3 linked regions of the Arabidopsis thaliana genome follow. The protein of the gene in region 3 binds, or shares a complex with, the protein of the main gene of each other region. Each region holds a gene or a part of one and is shown on either strand. Other genes may lie near its edges. A codon is read from its position in the direction of its gene.

Evidence for each region.
Region 1: the proteins of AHP1 (region 3) and RR1 are in contact, whole or in part, in a crystal structure (PDB 9H6E), measured with the Arabidopsis thaliana proteins. Residues at the interface, in NP_188788.1 of Arabidopsis thaliana: Gln26 (codon at 2,318), Gln29 (codon at 2,327), Leu30 (codon at 2,330), Leu33 (codon at 2,339), Asp35 (codon at 2,345), Ser37 (codon at 2,351), Asn38 (codon at 2,354), Phe41 (codon at 2,363), Gln44 (codon at 2,372), Val45 (codon at 2,375), Leu48 (codon at 2,384), Phe49 (codon at 2,387), Asp52 (codon at 2,396), Pro76 (codon at 2,560), His79 (codon at 2,569), Gln80 (codon at 2,572), Lys82 (codon at 2,578), Gly83 (codon at 2,581), Ser84 (codon at 2,584), Ser86 (codon at 2,590), Ser87 (codon at 2,593), Ile88 (codon at 2,700), Arg101 (codon at 2,739); in NP_566561.2 of Arabidopsis thaliana: Asp44 (codon at 3,714), Asp45 (codon at 3,711), Pro46 (codon at 3,708), Thr47 (codon at 3,705), Cys48 (codon at 3,702), Met50 (codon at 3,696), Ile51 (codon at 3,693), Arg54 (codon at 3,684), Met55 (codon at 3,681), Thr58 (codon at 3,672), His91 (codon at 3,076), Ser116 (codon at 2,918), Ala117 (codon at 2,915), Asp118 (codon at 2,912), Lys138 (codon at 2,852), Pro139 (codon at 2,849), Met142 (codon at 2,840).
Region 2: the proteins of AHP1 (region 3) and HK5 are in contact, whole or in part, in a crystal structure (PDB 4EUK), measured with the Arabidopsis thaliana proteins. Residues at the interface, in NP_188788.1 of Arabidopsis thaliana: Gln26 (codon at 2,318), Gln29 (codon at 2,327), Leu30 (codon at 2,330), Gln32 (codon at 2,336), Leu33 (codon at 2,339), Asp35 (codon at 2,345), Asn38 (codon at 2,354), Phe41 (codon at 2,363), Gln44 (codon at 2,372), Val45 (codon at 2,375), Leu48 (codon at 2,384), Phe49 (codon at 2,387), Asp52 (codon at 2,396), His79 (codon at 2,569), Gln80 (codon at 2,572), Lys82 (codon at 2,578), Gly83 (codon at 2,581), Ser84 (codon at 2,584), Ser86 (codon at 2,590), Ser87 (codon at 2,593), Ile88 (codon at 2,700), Arg101 (codon at 2,739); in NP_196633.2 of Arabidopsis thaliana: Asp785 (codon at 5,574), Asn786 (codon at 5,577), Lys787 (codon at 5,580), Ile788 (codon at 5,583), Asn789 (codon at 5,586), Met791 (codon at 5,592), Val792 (codon at 5,595), Ser795 (codon at 5,604), Met796 (codon at 5,607), Gln799 (codon at 5,616), Cys830 (codon at 5,797), Ala885 (codon at 6,051), Asn886 (codon at 6,054), Thr887 (codon at 6,057), Glu890 (codon at 6,066), Pro907 (codon at 6,117), Val908 (codon at 6,120), Thr909 (codon at 6,123), Leu910 (codon at 6,126).

The regions. Positions count from the first base shown.
Region 1 is NC_003074.8:5,754,143-5,759,955, reverse strand, and holds RR1 (response regulator 1), read right to left. Parts: upstream 4,136-5,813; 5' UTR 3,844-4,135; coding exon 3,657-3,843; intron 3,601-3,656; exon of another isoform or gene 3,242-3,600; intron 3,160-3,241; coding exon 3,007-3,159; intron 2,924-3,006; coding exon 2,483-2,923; intron 2,410-2,482; coding exon 2,333-2,409; intron 2,255-2,332; coding exon 1,109-2,254; coding exon of another isoform or gene 1,103-1,108; exon of another isoform or gene 886-1,102; coding exon 817-885; 3' UTR 513-816; downstream 1-512. Other genes in the region: COBL8 (COBRA-like protein 8 precursor), read left to right, coding at 1-313.
Region 2 is NC_003076.8:3,384,375-3,391,287, forward strand, and holds HK5 (histidine kinase 5), read left to right. Parts: upstream 1-1,526; 5' UTR 1,527-1,795; intron 1,796-2,352; 5' UTR 2,353-2,460; coding exon 2,461-3,165; intron 3,166-3,242; coding exon 3,243-3,299; intron 3,300-3,391; coding exon 3,392-3,619; intron 3,620-3,701; coding exon 3,702-3,795; intron 3,796-3,876; coding exon 3,877-4,083; intron 4,084-4,184; coding exon 4,185-4,315; intron 4,316-4,392; coding exon 4,393-4,442; intron 4,443-4,515; coding exon 4,516-4,697; intron 4,698-4,793; coding exon 4,794-4,897; intron 4,898-4,979; coding exon 4,980-5,702; intron 5,703-5,790; coding exon 5,791-5,955; intron 5,956-6,044; coding exon 6,045-6,167; 3' UTR 6,168-6,312; downstream 6,313-6,913. Other genes in the region: AT5G10730 (NAD(P)-binding Rossmann-fold superfamily protein), read right to left, coding at 6,448-6,627, 6,702-6,793, 6,878-6,913. UniProt on the Arabidopsis thaliana protein: Functions as a histidine kinase and transmits the stress signal to a downstream MAPK cascade.
Region 3 is NC_003074.8:7,577,166-7,581,554, reverse strand, and holds AHP1 (histidine-containing phosphotransmitter 1), read left to right. Parts: upstream 1-1,765; 5' UTR 1,766-2,017; coding exon 2,018-2,077; intron 2,078-2,302; coding exon 2,303-2,433; intron 2,434-2,525; coding exon 2,526-2,594; intron 2,595-2,698; coding exon 2,699-2,770; intron 2,771-2,858; coding exon 2,859-2,931; intron 2,932-3,063; coding exon 3,064-3,123; 3' UTR 3,124-3,843; downstream 3,844-4,389. UniProt on the Arabidopsis thaliana protein: Functions as a two-component phosphorelay mediators between cytokinin sensor histidine kinases and response regulator (B-type ARRs). Plays an important role in propagating cytokinin signal transduction through the multistep His-to-Asp phosphorelay.

The sequences.
Region 1 (5,813 bases), 1.8 Mb from region 3:
CGGGAAGAACACAACTGTTTTAATGGAAGGGCTCCCTGGACTGAACTATCTCCTTGCAGAGAAAGACGGAAAAAACCCGAGTGAAGACTTTCGGATACCCGGGAAACAGCAGTCGGTTATCTCCTTCACCAAGAAACTGACTCCTGGAATCAAAGTTGGTTCCAAAGATGGGTTTCCCACCAAAGTACTCTTCAACGGCCAGGAATGTTCACTCCCTTCTGTACTACCCACGAGCAACAGTCACAGGAAACATGTATCCACCTTTCTTCTCATCCTGACACCATTTTTGGCTCTACTGTTTCTTCGGATTTAAAAGTTCCAGTGAAGGACTTTCCTCATTAGCCAGAAAATATACAGTTTTCTTGATTCTTTCTAACCAGATTTGATGCAGAATTACTTCTACTACTAGTGGTGCTTTGTGCACCGTGTGATTCTTGAATTTCGTATGATCAGATTTTAGTAATCAGTATGTATACATACAAATATTGAACAGACAAATCCCTTTGTGTTTTGATCTTGAATTGCTTTGATTTCACGTTGTGGCGTTGTACTAAATTAAGTTTGTTCGAATTATTCTAAGCATTTACTCGAAATACATACTTACAAAACCCTAAACAGCCTCACTACATAAATGAGGAACAAAAGAATCTCCAAGGATATTAACCCCTAACATGAATAATTATTTCTTATATAATCTGCCATTTAAAATTTCATGCAGACTACATATATATCAAACAAGTTTTAGTAGATCGTCGTGTAAAAATGATACAGTACAGATCCGGGTAGTCCCTCCGGTTTATCGGTTTTTTTATCCAATCAAACCGGAATGTTATCGATGGAGTATGCGTCAAAGTCGAATTCGCCATCAACCGGTGCAATCCCTTCCTGTATATCAATAATTCAAGATTGTGTTTTTCAACTTTTTTGGTTCACTGATTTTTTTTGTTATTTAGTTGTAATTTGCATTATTATGAAAAAGACATGCGACCAATGGTGAGAAAGCGTCTGAGAGTTGTTATATATTTGATTTTGAACGCAAACATGTACGTTGACGGATCAGATTATGCTTCTATATAAGTTTGACAAAAAAAAAAAAATCAAATCAAACCTGCTTAAGAAGTGCGCTCATAAGATCTTCTTGATTACTATACTGCTCGTGAAACGCCATTGTTGCTGTATCCGTAGCCACTCTCTCTGATTTCACCCTCACTGAACCACCGTTTCCGTCTGCATAAACCTGATGGTGCTGTACCATTCCCGATGGTGGCTGCTGGTGGTTTCGGCCATGCTCGGTGGCTGCAACTGTCGTGTTGTGTCTTGACATGGACGAAGAAGAGTAGGCTTCTGAAGCGGAAAACGCAGCGGATTCTGAGTCCTGATGTGAGTCAAAGGCTATTCCAATATTCCTCAGATCCCAATCATTCTGTCTGGTGGTGAACATGTCGTAGCTCGGCGTAGTGAAACCCGCTTCGGAGCTGTTAACCTCTTCCTGGTAAGAAGTGGCTTTCCGAACCGGTACTGATATCCCTGGTGCACTTGCCAGCGGGAAACTGTTCACGGGAAGTTCTGGTTGGAAGTTGTTATAAGGCATCGAGCTTGATGAGTGTTGTGTTGTGAGATTAGTGTAACTTGTCGGTAACACTCTGCTGCTCTCGGGGATATTGTTCCTTCCAGAGAAACCACTTCTCTCGGAAATGCGGTTTGATAACATCGGCTGCCTGATGGATGATTGCGAAGAGGTTAGCATAGGCGGTGGTCCCCGAGGCAAAGACTGCTGACCCGCTAGAGGCATCAGCATTCCGTTGTTTTGAACACTATTTCCAGCTCGAACAGCAGCAATCTGTTGTTGAATACTCATTCGATTACCCATAGGAAGCTGCTGTTGTAAACCCGTGGGGACACCGTGAAGTAAGTTCATCTGTGGTTGCTGTTGGGGTTGTTGCCCGTGATGCCCAAGCCCTTCTCCAAATCTTGTTTTCGTGTTGTCAAAGCTGAAGATGCTTCTCTCATCCACAATGGAGGAAACCGGCAAACCTGACTTAGAGACCATCGCAGGCCGGCCTAAACCAGCGGCTTGAAGCTGTGCAAGACTCTGTGCAGGTAACTGACCTGTGACGGCTAGTGCTTGAAGATCAAACCCATTCAATGTCGAAAGAGGTCCGAAGCTCGCATCCTGACCCGTCATAAACGAGTTGTTAAGATTGCCTTGGTGCTGCGATACCCCTCCAAGCCGTCTTAGATATATCCGGTATTTCTGCAAGTCCACATAAAGCCGCTAAGAACATCTAAGCATTTCAATGGCTCATTTTGGTATCCAGTATAAGATTTATACCTGGAGGTGACTTGCTACGTTTTCTCGGGTTAGACCAGGAACATTCATCAGCTCTAAGATCTTTTTAGGAACCGCCTCTGCGCCATAGAAGATCATTTAGACCCTGAGCATAACAATCACAAATGCAAATGTAAGAAGTTTTAGTCTTACTCTCAACGCCGAGCTGATTAACAGCAGCAACAAACTGCTGATGCAATTCAACAGACCAGACGACACGCGGTTTCTTCAAATTCGACGCATCTTCGTCCTTATCATCTCCTTGCTCTTCTCCTTCCTCGTCTTTCCTCTTCCGTGAACTGCTCCTCCAATTGTTACCTTCGTTAACCGAGGATGAGTTATCATCCACCGCATCCTCTCCACCAGAAACAGCTGCACCACCACCACCTCCTCTATGTTGCTGCTGCTGTCTCTCGCCAGTCTCCTCAATGCTCCCAGAATGTTCCGGTACACTCCATTCACTTCTCCTCTTCCTAACTACATGCTGCCATATGTTCTTAAGTGCCTCCATACGTACAGGCTTGATAAGGTAATCAACCGCACCGTGCGTTACTCCCTTTAGAACCACACTCTTTGAATCATCCGCAGACATCACTAGTTAAACGAATACAAGATCAATAATCTATAAAAAAAGATTCAAACTTAGATGAGATTTGAGGGAGTAAAAAGAACGTTACTGATAACAGGTAAGTCCATCTCTAGACCAACATGCTCAAGAAGCTTGAAACCGTCCATGTCAGGCATATGAACATCACTGATTACTATATCGAATCCATGTTTGTTCTTCCGGAGCAGAGACAATGCCATCTCTGCTCTGTTGCATTTCGTTACTGCATGTCATAACAACCAAAATGTTTCATATCTTCAAAGATAAAAGAAAAAAACAGAGATTTGAATTCTGACAACAAGGACCTCATGAATTGACATTTAACCAAAACTCAAGTCAAAGATCAAAGACTCAAGATTTGAATCCATTTGAAACCTCCCCTAACTTATTATATACAATGGATCTACATGTGAATCTATCAGTAGATCAAAATGGTGTGATCTAAATGAAGAAGCTCGAGATTAATATGTGAATCTTAAAAAGTAACCAAAATGGTTTCTATTAAAGGGGGAGCAAAGTTAGTCAACCACCGATATGAAAACCATAATTATTCCTCAAAATAACATAATTTTCGAGAATGGACCACAAATAAACCCATCATTGGAGCAAGAGACCATGAACTCTCTTTCTCTCTCTCTCTCTCTCTCTCTCGTGAGATTAAACGAACAAAAAAAAAAAAAAAAAAATGAAAAGAGAAGATCTTGGTTTTTGGATACGAACCTTCGTAAAGACAAGTCCTAAGCATCCTCTCTAAGATCATGAGACAAGTTGGGTCATCGTCAACGACAAGAACTCGAAGACCAGAAGGAAACATCTCGACGACGGTCTCACCACCACCTCCTTGATTTCTACCGGAGCTGGACCCACCAGCCGATCCGAGTCCTCTTCCGTGACTCGGATTCATCATACCTCTCTCTATGTAGCTCGAACCCAAGAAACAAAAAAAGAAAAGCAGAAAAGAATATATACCCAGAAAGAAAGAGGGGAAATTGACGCGAGTTTTATTCGATTTAAAATTGAATATTATGAGAGAATACGAAATTGTTGGAGATAGAAGTGAATCTCTTCTGGGTAACCAAAAAAAAGAAGAAGAGAGAGATGGTGAGATGAGACTTAGGGAGTTGAAGAAGACAAGGCTTGTCTCACCTTAGAGCTCTTTTTCTCTGTTTTTTTATTTATTCACAGAGTAAAGCTCTCTTAATTTTTCCTATTCAATTTTTGTAACATTTAGATGCAGAAGAAAAAAAAAATGTGGTTTTTATATACTCAGTCATATATATTTTTTATTTACATATATGTAGAAGCTGACATGTCCTTTATTTTCATCATTCTCTCTACATTTAGACTATTGGTTTTATTAAATTTCATTTAGATCCACTCTCTTTTTTATTCTCAATTTCTTACAAGTTAGTTTTGTATATTATATGTACTATTGTTCTATATTCTGTTTTATTTTTCTATTTAGAAGAACATTTTGGATGTTGCTTTGAGCTCAAATTCTGGGTTATTTTGTGAAGTAGTGAAATATAGGGGTTGAATCATCAATGAAAGAAATATAGGGTAAGGAAATTTATATAATTGGGAAGAAAGTGGGACCAAAGACCCTTGATTCGTGGATCCAGCTCATGCATGAAAAAATTAATTAACTCGTCATATGTAAAGTTTGCAAACTCAAACCTTAATAGATTTTCATTAGTATTATTGTTGTTAGTTTCCTAATTTTTTGTTTTAATTTCCATTTTCTACCAATTTCGAATAGGAATTTGCCTTAAACAAAAGAGCAGCTGCATATATATATAAAAAATTCTTAGTTTTGATATGCCTATAATTTATTTACTAAACTACCCTTTGAATTTATGTAATTGAGAAACAATGCCTCCTGTCTATTGGACCTACATGTATTAAATTAAACGGCAAAATAAAAATATAATCATATCATTAAATTAAACAAAATAATACGTCTACGCACATTCAAGCATATGATTAAGGTACCAAAATACACCTAAGCATTTCCCATCATCACCTACATCTTTAGCTAAGATATAGTACATATACTTTTATCAACAAAAAAAAACCAGATATATGATGTATACATAACATAAGATTACTCGATGCCTTTTTTGGTGCAAATTAAACATATAACCTTCCAAATTTTTTAGTATGTATTTATTTCAAGTCGTGTGTAACTATGATTAGTAAGAATATAACTTATATAGTATACTTTTCATGTTTTAATCAAAAACAACTTGTAGTTCTAGGAAATAAATTGTATTAAATGGAAAATAGAAAAAAATTGTACGTTTGATTGTTGAAAACATATATATATATATATATATATATATATATGTATGTATAATTACAAGTTTACAACAACAGTAGTCAGTATATGGTGCAAAAAAAAACATGTGCGCTTCTTCTCTTAAAACGTTGGATACTAAATAAACAAAGAAATAATGCAAATGGTTCATCTGAATGATTAGTAACATCATATGCTACCCACCAATCGCCCTATTCCCCCGAAAGTATATTTTTAATAATGTATAGGATAACAAATCATATTTGACTATTCGATTGCTCTACGACATATTTATAAACACATACAAACCAGTAACTTATTTATAAATGTGTAAATTTGTCAACTTCAATGTAAACTATATCTAAGTTATCCAAGTTCAGTGTATACTTTGCTTAAATAGTTGTTTAGCACCGCCGACATGTCTTATCTTTTTCAAATTAACGATAGTTTTAAGTGTGACATACGACTTGTTTCATATGTGCATCGATACCTAATTTCTTACATTAATCAATGTTATCAAGTAAAATTCACTACTTGTAGTATTTAGAAGGAAAACTCAACAATACGAATATTAAATCAAT
Region 2 (6,913 bases), on a different chromosome or scaffold from region 3:
AAAAAAATAACAATATCCTTAATCTCCTTCACCACCGTCCATAATTTTTGGCGCGAGAGCAACAAAAAAAAAAAAACACGACAAACAGAAGAAACTTGTTTGAAAATGATTAGACCACGTGTTAGTCAACGGTAATTCCACGTGTAACATTGAGGCTGACGTGGAACATGTGACTAACCACATCACATGTTTCCTATTAGCCACTTACGGACGGGACAAAAGCCTCCGAGCGCCGTTCAGATCGGGACTTAAGACACCAAAAATGGCTTAGCTGTTTTCTTAAATTATTTTAATTTAAAGACCCTTTAATTTATTATTATTAGTTTTGATTATTGTGTGTACTATTACCACTAGTTGCTAATTTTTTAGTATTTAATTTATTGATATAGAAATGGGATTGATTTCAGACAACTAATTTTGTGCCAATACAGTTGTTGTCCGCTCCATTGAATTGTGAGGATTGGGTCTTATTCATTTTTTCTATTAGCTTTTCTCGTGTTTTTTTATGCGCAAGGTGTTCAAATTATTGATCATACTAGTTTGCAACTGAAATTGAAGCGTAGAATATAGTTTAAGATTTGGGTGATTAATACAAATATTATACTACTAGTTACGATACATTTATTTGTGGTACTACATGTGCTTTCTGCTATTCATGAAACAATGAATGTCCCGACCCAATTCGAATATTTGTGTACTTTCGTCAACATTGACATTCTATAGACTATATATTAGAACCACATGATTATACATTTTAAAAAAAAATCTTCTTTTTTCGTAATGAGTAGTAGTACAAAAGGCAAAAGAAATAAATCATGCATTCGTTACTTATTGACAACTAGAAATAACTATAATTATGTTTAGTTATTTTCATTATCGGATCATCAAATCATCTAATATATTTTTCCAAAAGCTTAACATTCTACAAAACTTTACAACACAAAAATTTATATATATGATTCAACTTAAAAATTCATGAGCTAAACAGAGTTGCTCTGTTTCGGAAAATCATTCTAATTACGTAGAATAAAACTCACTTATATAAATCTACTAATCAAAGAGTTGTCCAGTTTACTGATTAAGTAGCCAAATCATGAATTAATAGTGATCGTCGTCGAGCAAATTAAAATCCAAATCTATAACAATTATTGACGCCACTTCTAGTTACTCCTCAATAAAGGAAGTTGCTAATACTTAATTAAAAAATAGTGTGACTATCCTCAATATACTCGGAGCGTGACGTAAACGCGCCGCCTTATAGCTTCCGTCGTCAACTCTGTGAGGTATAAAAGACGTAAGGAAAAGCAGAGAAACTGGAGGAAAAAAAAGAACAGAGAGAAAGAGAGAAGAGTGAATTGTGAGACAGATCGAAACGTGTCAATCTGTGTGTCATTCGATAGTAACTCGGATTCGGTCTCAGAAAGAAAACAAACGTGCACACACAGAGCAGAGAGACAGAGTCGCCATTAAAATATGTCCAACTTAAAAATGTGAGAAAGAGAGAGAAGAGAAGAGAAGAGAAGAGATGAATATAATATACATTGACCTCTCTGTCTCATGAGCAAGCACATGTCCTCTCTCTCTCTCTCTTTCTCTTCTCCGTAAAAAAAATTACCAATCTTTCACAATTCATTCACATGCTCCTCTCTCTTTCTTCATTGGCTATTCTCTTCCCAATGCTCATTTGAAGTTTATTTACTCTACTCCCGACGACCACGACTCTTCTTCAGATCTACTCACTCCTTCTTTCTCTCCTTCTTCTTCTTCATTTTTCCGGTGACCGGAGTCGGAGAAGGTAAAGCTTCTGATCCCTTCCCCTTTCCTCCGGCATACTCGTTCCTCTGCTTTGTCTTTCGTTTTTTTCATTTCTTTCTGTTTCAGCCTTTTGCATCTCGAGACTTCATGATTACAATTTCTTTATGTTTCTCAATGCAAGATTTTCGTTTATAATATATGATCACTGATGTCAAGAATAAATCACCAAAGATTTTTTTCTTTCCATATATTTTTTCCGATCATCGCTCAAAAAAAAGTTTCATCGTTTAAATTTATTTTCAGATTTTATCGTTTATTGGTGAATTTTATGATCCTAGTTGATAATTCAATCTGAAAAAAGAAACTGATACAGTTTTCTTTTTGAAGCTCTGCAAATTTCTGATTTTTAAGCTCGAATCATATAATTTGAAGTTTCCCGCTAATGTTCAATCAGAATTGGTCCACACACTTAGTTGTTGTGGACCCTTTGCAAAATTCTATTTTAGTTCATTATTTTTCACATTTTACAGATCAAGATTCTCTGATGGAGATGGTTTGTCCTGACTCTAACCTCTGTGTTTGAAAATATCTATACAGGTTCTTTATTCAGATCAAGGTTCTGGCTTAAAGAAAAAAGTTGTTTGAATTTTGAGATTTGTCTGGTCCATTGTGTTGCTGTTGTTGTATGAAGAGAAACCTTGATCAATGGTCTGTGAAATGGAGACTGATCAGATTGAGGAAATGGATGTCGAAGTTTTGTCTTCGATGTGGCCCGAAGATGTTGGAACTGAAGCTGACAAACAGTTCAACGTCGAGAAACCTGCCGGAGATTTAGACACGTTGAAAGAAGTTACTATCGAGACACGGACCATTGCGGATATGACACGGTTACCAAACCTATTGAATTCGACTCATCAAGGCTCCTCTCAACTAACCAACCTTGTGAAACAATGGGAGTATATGCAAGACAACGCGGTTCGGCTGTTAAAAGAAGAGCTAAAAAATCTCGATAGACAGAGAGAAGAAGCCGAGGCTAAAGAGTTGAAGATCATTGAGGAGTATAAGTTTGAGAGCAACGAGCCTGAGAATGTTCCGGTTTTGGATGAGACGAGTGATTTGTTCCGCAGGTTTAGGCAGAAAAAACGAGATGCCTTGGTCGATAGCAAGAAGATTGAGATCTATGAGGAGTTTGACACTGTTGCATATTGGAAACAGAAGGCGTTGAGTCTTGAGAAAATGCTTGAGGCGAGTACTGAGAGAGAAAGGCGATTGATGGAGAAGCTGAGTGAGAGTTTGAAAACTATGGAGAGTCAGTCAGCACCGGTCCAAGAGCTTACTCAGAATCTTAAGAGAGCTGAAGGTTTCTTGCATTTCATACTTCAGAATGCACCTATTGTTATGGGCCATCAGGTAAAGTAAAAGGTGATTCTTGATCTTGTTTTCGATCTTTTCGACTTTTCTGATTCTTTGTTACTTATGAGTTTCAGGATAAAGATTTACGCTACTTGTTCATCTACAACAAGTATCCTAGTTTACGGGAACAGGTTAGAAGAAAACTTTTTCTTCTGTTGGATTTATTGAATCATTCTCTGAGGAAATGTGTTTAAATCAAAATCTGTTTCTTACTATATTTCAGGACATTTTGGGAAAAACAGACGTGGAGATATTCCATGGAGGTGGAGTTAAAGAATCTGAAGATTTCAAGAGAGAAGTTCTTGAGAAAGGAAAAGCTTCAAAGAGAGAGATCACATTTACTACAGATTTATTTGGATCAAAGACGTTTTTGATATATGTTGAGCCTGTTTACAACAAAGCTGGCGAGAAAATCGGTATAAACTACATGGGAATGGAAGTAACTGATCAGGTTAGTTAGCTAAAGATTTTTGAACTATTCTATAATCTATGTTCTCATTTTCACATCTTCACTGGATCTTCCTGTGTTACAGGTAGTGAAAAGGGAGAAAATGGCGAAACTTAGAGAAGATAACGCTGTGAGAAAGGCGATGGAATCAGAACTGAACAAGACTATTCACATTACAGGTTTGTTCAAGTTAAGCAGTGAAAGTTTTAGAAAGATTAATGAGAAAACTAGACTTAGGTGTTGTGTTTTTTCTTTTGCAGAGGAGACAATGAGAGCAAAGCAGATGCTAGCGACGATGTCTCATGAGATAAGGTCACCATTGTCAGGAGTAGTGGGAATGGCTGAGATACTTTCAACTACAAAACTGGATAAAGAGCAAAGACAGTTGTTGAATGTCATGATCTCTTCTGGTGATTTGGTGCTTCAGCTAATCAACGACATTCTTGATCTCTCCAAGGTTGAATCAGGTACAATATACTGTTTTCAAAGTTTTTGATCTTGTGGTGTGGTCATTGTTCAAATCCTCGATTACATATGTTATTTTTTGGTATTTGTGTGTTCTTTTTAGGTGTGATGAGATTAGAAGCTACAAAGTTTCGACCAAGAGAAGTAGTGAAGCATGTGCTACAGACAGCTGCAGCATCGCTGAAGAAATCTTTGACATTAGAAGGAAACATTGCAGATGATGTTCCTATTGAGGTTACTACACATTTCAGAAAGAGTTAAATGTGGCAAAAGTCTTTGTGATCTTAACTTTTTTTCCTTTAAATGTTTAGGTAGTTGGAGATGTTCTAAGGATTAGGCAGATCCTCACCAATTTGATAAGGTTCTTTACCTGATTCCTGTATTATTTGCATAATGACAAGTTTCGGTTCCTGATTTGTTCAAACGTTTTGCAGCAATGCTATCAAGTTTACACATGAAGGAAATGTAGGAATCAAACTCCAAGTGATATCAGAACCATCCTTTGTGCGGGATAACGCATTGAACGCAGACACCGAGGAACACGAACAAAACGGTTTGACCGAGACTTCAGTTTGGATTTGCTGTGACGTATGGGACACTGGAATTGGAATCCCAGGCAAGCAAGCAATTCTGACAAATGAACATGAAAAGACTAAAAAACTCCAACTAACCTATATATTAACCTGGTTCATGTTTTGGTGTTCTTGTGCAGAAAACGCTCTTCCATGTTTGTTCAAGAAGTACATGCAAGCAAGCGCTGATCATGCCCGAAAATACGGTGGGACTGGTCTCGGACTTGCTATTTGTAAACAGCTGGTAAGCTATTATTAGGATTTTACAACACTACAGAAGAAACTAATGAAGCTCGTTATCCTAATCTTTCTCTGTTTGTTTACAGGTTGAGTTAATGGGAGGCCAACTCACTGTGACAAGCCGGGTGAGCGAAGGTTCAACGTTCACATTTATATTACCCTACAAAGTTGGAAGATCAGATGATTATTCAGATGATCAAGATGAGTTCTCTGATATGGCGGATCAACAATCTGAACCAGACGATACAGCTGAAGGATATTTCCAGTTTAAACCGCTCTTAGGATCGATATATTCGAATGGCGGACCGGGGATCAGCAATGACTTCTTACCTCATAAAGTCATGCTTACTAGTCCTATTAAGCTCATCAATGGTTTTGTCGCTGATCCCTCTAATAACACTGGACAGAGCGAGATGCTACAGCTTGAAAACGGTGGTTACATGGATGAATCTAAACTCGAAACCAGTTCTGGTCATTGCCCTGAATCAGCTCACCAATATGAGAATGGAAATGGTCGATGTTTCTCTAAGGAATCTGAATCTTGTAGCAGTTCACAAGCTAGCTCAGAAGGTGGAACCTTAGAAATGGAGTCAGAGCTCACAGTTTCATCTCATAGGGAAGAGGAAAAAGCCGAGACAGAAGTAAAAGAAACATCAAAGCCAAAGATTTTGCTTGTGGAAGATAATAAGATCAACATCATGGTTGCAAAGTCGATGATGAAGCAGTTAGGCCATACCATGGATATTGCTAATAATGGAGTTGAAGCCATAACCGCGATTAATAGCTCTAGCTACGATCTGGTACTCATGGTATGTAAATTTTCTTAGCTCTAAGGACTTGTCCTTTTCAAATTCACTTATATTTGAAAAAGGCTTATAATTCATATTGGGTTCACAGGATGTGTGCATGCCGGTGCTCGATGGTTTAAAAGCTACAAGACTGATCCGTTCGTATGAAGAAACTGGGAACTGGAATGCTGCAATAGAAGCCGGAGTAGATATATCGACATCGGAGAATGAACAAGTTTGTATGCGTCCCACAAACCGGCTGCCTATAATCGCGGTCAGTACTTCTTTTTTGAATACTAAACACAGAGATCTAATGCATAACTTGAGAAAACTGATAGTCAGAATGCGTTGTGGAATGTGCAGATGACGGCAAATACTTTAGCAGAGAGTTCAGAAGAATGTTATGCAAATGGTATGGACTCGTTTATTTCGAAACCTGTAACGTTGCAAAAACTGAGAGAGTGTTTGCAACAGTATTTGCACTGAGATTTCAGATTTTTGTGTTTTGTAGATTAAGAAATGGTTGTGTTGTATATAAATTGTGTAGGAAAAAAGTTTTGGAGAGCTACTAAGTAGCTTCCTCTTTTTAGAGATGTATAGTTCAATAAATAAATAAAAGCTTCTCTTCTTTATTTATTTGTGGGAAATTTCTGGCGAGAGAAACAAGTAAACATTTTTGTTCCCACCATTCGAATCCAGCAGAGTACTAAAAGCAGCCAAGCTCTACAAAACGACATTGAGCATACTTAAGCTTTTCAAAACGGACTTATCTCGATTTCTGTTGGCTGTAACGTTGTATTCCATGGACATCCACAATCCCGGGAGGGAACACTGGATCTGTGGCTGCTCTAACTGCGACTTTTGCAACCGATTCAACATTCACCGGAGGTGTGAACAAAGGTCCGACTAATGGAAGCTGGTTCAGAGGTTTTGCTTGTTGAAGAACCTACATAAAGCCACAAACATTATGAGTAACGAGGTAATCTTGAGGGATATTGCTATAAAGAGAGGATCTCTTACCATCTCCATGGGTGAACCAAATACTCCTAACGGGATCTTCATGCTCCCAACACTGCGAGTTCCATATATAAAACCAGGTCGCAAGATTATACCTGCACAACATTCACCAAAACTTCAAATGTAAAAAACAAACGAGTTTCAGAGAGAGTTTTGTAGATGTACCACGAAACTTATACCTCCATATGCAAATCTTGTGAGCAGCTCGGTCTCAG
Region 3 (4,389 bases):
ATCAAACATAATTTGTAAACGTGATAACACAAAATTGATAGAGAATATGGACTTGTGTTTTAAAATCTACGTTTACATGCATTTGTATTTTACATGATCTAAAAGTGTGTTTATCGTATGTGAAACCATTACGTCAACATGGATTGTTTTTACGGTATTGTGTTACAAATGTAAATACACCATTTTAATATCTAAACTCACTTTTTTCTTCTTTTTGTTTGCGGTTGAACCAACCAAGCCCATACACGAGATAAAATTGACAACTAATTTATTTTACTTGTGTAAATTGAACTTAACCTGAAATTGGCAGTGAACCAACAAATCGACTAACTCGTTCTGCATGTTTACCTTTTATTTGTTTTTAGTAAATAATATCGTATTTGGCTGCGTCTACAGCGACTTGTATTCTAGCTTTAAACCTTTTTAAAAACTTGATATGGCTATTGGCTATAAGGATTTTCTTATAATAAATTGCTTGGAGATATGGGTGAGTGCAAACTCTTTCTTGACTTTTTACGTATAAATTTGTTAAAAACTAAGGAAGCACAGTTTAACTTTTATACGGAGATAATATAATGTAAGATATCAAAATTCATAATAAGATTTGAAAGGTCCATAATTAGTGATGGAACCTTCTTACGATGGACCCATTATCAAGTAAGAACCACTAATAATCTTTGGTTAGTTAGTATATATAATACGTTTTATGCCATTCGTTAAACGCATCCTACGTTCTTGCATGTCCCATGTCCATTCATCATGTGAGACGTGTCAAAGCGTTGATGTTTACCCAAATTTGCAGAAATTAATACAGTGAAACTAATTTACTATTTTTATTTTGGCTTGACGTGTTGAAATTGTTATTGAAAATACGAATTGTCTAAGGAAAAAATTGTCATTTTACTGTGCATGAGGAAATAGATAAGAATGGTGTGTATGAGTATGATTGGGAAAGTATTTGGAGTGACGAAAATACCAGGGATATGCAAATGAAGAAATAGTGTGGTTGAAAAAGATGAGACTGGTGTGCTGATCGTTGTAGTTGAAAATGTTACGTAAAAATATATTGTATGTAGTACTCTATGAAAGATTGAAAGGATATGAGCTATTGCATATATATTGTTAGGTTGTTTTGAAATATTGTTAGTTGAAAGAAATTTATAGAGCAAGTGACAAACGAGTAAATAGAAAAGCTTTGAGAAATCACGAAAAAACATTTGAATTGTGATAAGTGGTTGATTATAATGAAAAATATTGGTATAACACAAAATATGATAAATCCTAGTTTAATAAGAATTCCACCAAATGATTGGACGAGATATATGACTAAAGAAATTATAAGCTGCATTTAGTTTTGGTTTTGAACAACATTACAAAGTGTTAGGCGGCATTTGAGTTCTCAAAGTCACAATTTCCTTGATAAACCCATTACGTTACGATATTTGTGATACATCAATATAAAATAAACTAACCAATCAATGTATTATTATAATAAAAGAATTGCTAGTTGGACAAAAACAATGAGGATCAAATCAAAATTATATTACAAATAAAGTTTCCCTAGAGATGCTATTTGAAAGATACATTGAATGCGAGCTGTGCATATTAGTATATGCTTTTCATCAGTAGTACAGTAATTTAAATATTCGAACCAATAAAATGTTTTAAAATCTTAAGAAAAAAAAAGACAAATCAAGAAGTATCAAATGCTCTTCTTATGTCTTTATCACATTTGCAAAAAAAACGAGGAAAAAAAGGCGCGAATGGTTAGACAGTTGACAGCACGACCAACTTCCATTCTTTAAGAGTTTCTTTCTTTTTGGATTCTTTTCTCACATCCAAACCAAAATTGTAATAATAAAATACAAACTATTTAAATTTAAAAAATAGGGTTTTTTGATACGGAGGATTTTGTTCTCATCTTTTAAGTACTGAGGATTTTGTTGGACATTTTCTTACCTCCATTATTGGCAGAGAGAAACAAAGAAATAAAGAACAAAAGCAAATAACAGAGAATATGGATTTGGTTCAGAAGCAGAAGAGTTTGCAAGATTACACCAAATCACTCTTCTTAGAAGTAAGTTTTTCACATTTGAAAAGATCAAATAATCAGAAAACTTGTTTTAACGTTCACAACTTTTTCTTTCTGGTTTTAGGACTTGTAGTAAAAATGGTTTTAGGACTTATAGTAAAAATGTGTTAGGCTTTTGTAGTTTCTTTGGTAAGATAATCATGAGTTTAGGTTATGTAAAATTAGTTTCTGATTATGGAAAGTCTTTTGTTTTGGGTAAATACAAAAAAGGGGATTTTGGACAGCCAGTTCTTGCAGCTGCAACAACTACAAGATGAAAGCAATCCAGATTTTGTTTCACAAGTTGTCACACTCTTCTTCCAAGACTCTGATAGGATTCTCAATGATCTCTCACTTTCCCTGTAATCTTCTTTACACATTCTCTCTTTAATCTTTTTTTTTTTGTTCTTTTCCAAAACTTGTGTTTCTCACTGTTTTTTTATGCTTCGGGCAGAGATCAACAAGTTGTAGACTTTAAAAAAGTTGATCCCCATGTTCATCAACTCAAAGGTAGCAGCTCCAGGTAACAACAAAAACAAAACTGGCTATTTCTGATTTTAATCCAATGATAATGACATTTTCTTGATCTTGAAATGTGTAACAATATATATTGCCAAAAAATAACAGTATAGGAGCACAGAGAGTTAAGAATGCTTGTGTTGTCTTCCGCAGCTTCTGCGAGCAGCAAAATGTCGAAGCGTGAGTTTAATCGATATGTTCGTTGGTCCATTCGTTATTTCTTTGTTTTAAGATCTGATTAGGAAAATACATCGTTGAAAAATTTCAGATGTCATAGATGTTTGCAACAAGTGAAGCAAGAGTATTATCTTGTGAAAAACAGATTAGAGACTCTGTTCAAGGTAAAAAGTCAAAGAGACTTTTTTTTTTTTTATAAAACCACCCACATAACTCTTATCTAGTTATACAATATTTTGATCAACATTTGAAACTTATCTGATTCAATTTTGGTTTTGATGATCGAATCTATGCAGCTGGAGCAACAGATTGTAGCTTCTGGTGGAATGATCCCGGCCGTCGAACTCGGATTTTGAGTGAATTTCATAAACATCTCTGTCCATTGTTGTTTCATTTTGGACTCTCTCTTCTTCCTCTCTTTATGTGACTATCAAAAAAAGGTTCTTATGTGAACTTCTTTCTTTGTGCCATTGGAAGAGTGAGACATGCTAAAACGTTTCTTAATCCACATCTAAATCCCACATATGTAAAATAAGATCTCAAGCAAACATATAGTCATGAGTCATGACTACAATTATATAGAGTTTGATCAAGATAATGTACGCATCAAGGTAATGTGATCCGGACAACTTGGTTAGGTATTAGGTTGTTGTTTTACTGTAACTGTTAGAAGTAGTTAGAAGTCTTGTAGTCCTTGACCAAAGAACACAGATGGGCCATATGAATTTTAGTAGCCCAAGATGATAACAAAGGGCCCGTACTAAACATCCATGATGATCTTGGAAATCTTTTTTTTATTACGATTGCACTTCGACGAATCTCTAAAGATTTTCAGACATTTATACAATGCAATTAAGAAAAAAATAAAGTTATACTATGTGAGTGCACGTTAAATAATGTAGCTAAAAATAAAATAATGACAAAATTCTTAATTACTTACAGATCCGTGACCTGTCGTCGACTATATATGGCTCCAATTTATAACCTCATGTTCGATTTCTAGACTTCTAGTTTACCACTTATAACTTTGTATTGCTCTATACTCGTATTAATTAGTGCTCCATCTTTTTTATTTGAACTTTTTTGGGTAAAGAATGAGCGTTCCCTTCATCGTTTGTTCATAACTTTACTAGTTCCTTTAATTGTACCTTCTGTTTAATTTTGTTTTCAAGTGACCTTTTTGTCTTTTCAATAATAATTAAGATTTCCAGTTCGTAATTTCGTATGTATAATGAACCATACCATTAATTATGCAATATGACAAAAATATGATGTTTATATGTTCTTCCACCTTGTTATTATCGATTACAAATTTAAATAAGGATCATAGGGTAAATAACACTTTTTTTTTTTTGGTTATAATCAATATCTTATTCCTATTTTATTGTTTCAAACATGCATAGTATCCAAAGGGAAGCATGTTTTGGTGAAAATATATGCATAGAAGAAGAAGACTAATCAGTAATCAAGACAAGAGATAGGTTGAATAATTCCATTAAGTTTTCTCCTATCTGTAGTCTAAATCACTAGTTACAACTTTCAACACACATGAAACACATTATACATGCATCATTATTCATTAATGTGTTAGGTTACGCTACGTATATTTTGTGTAGATTTGA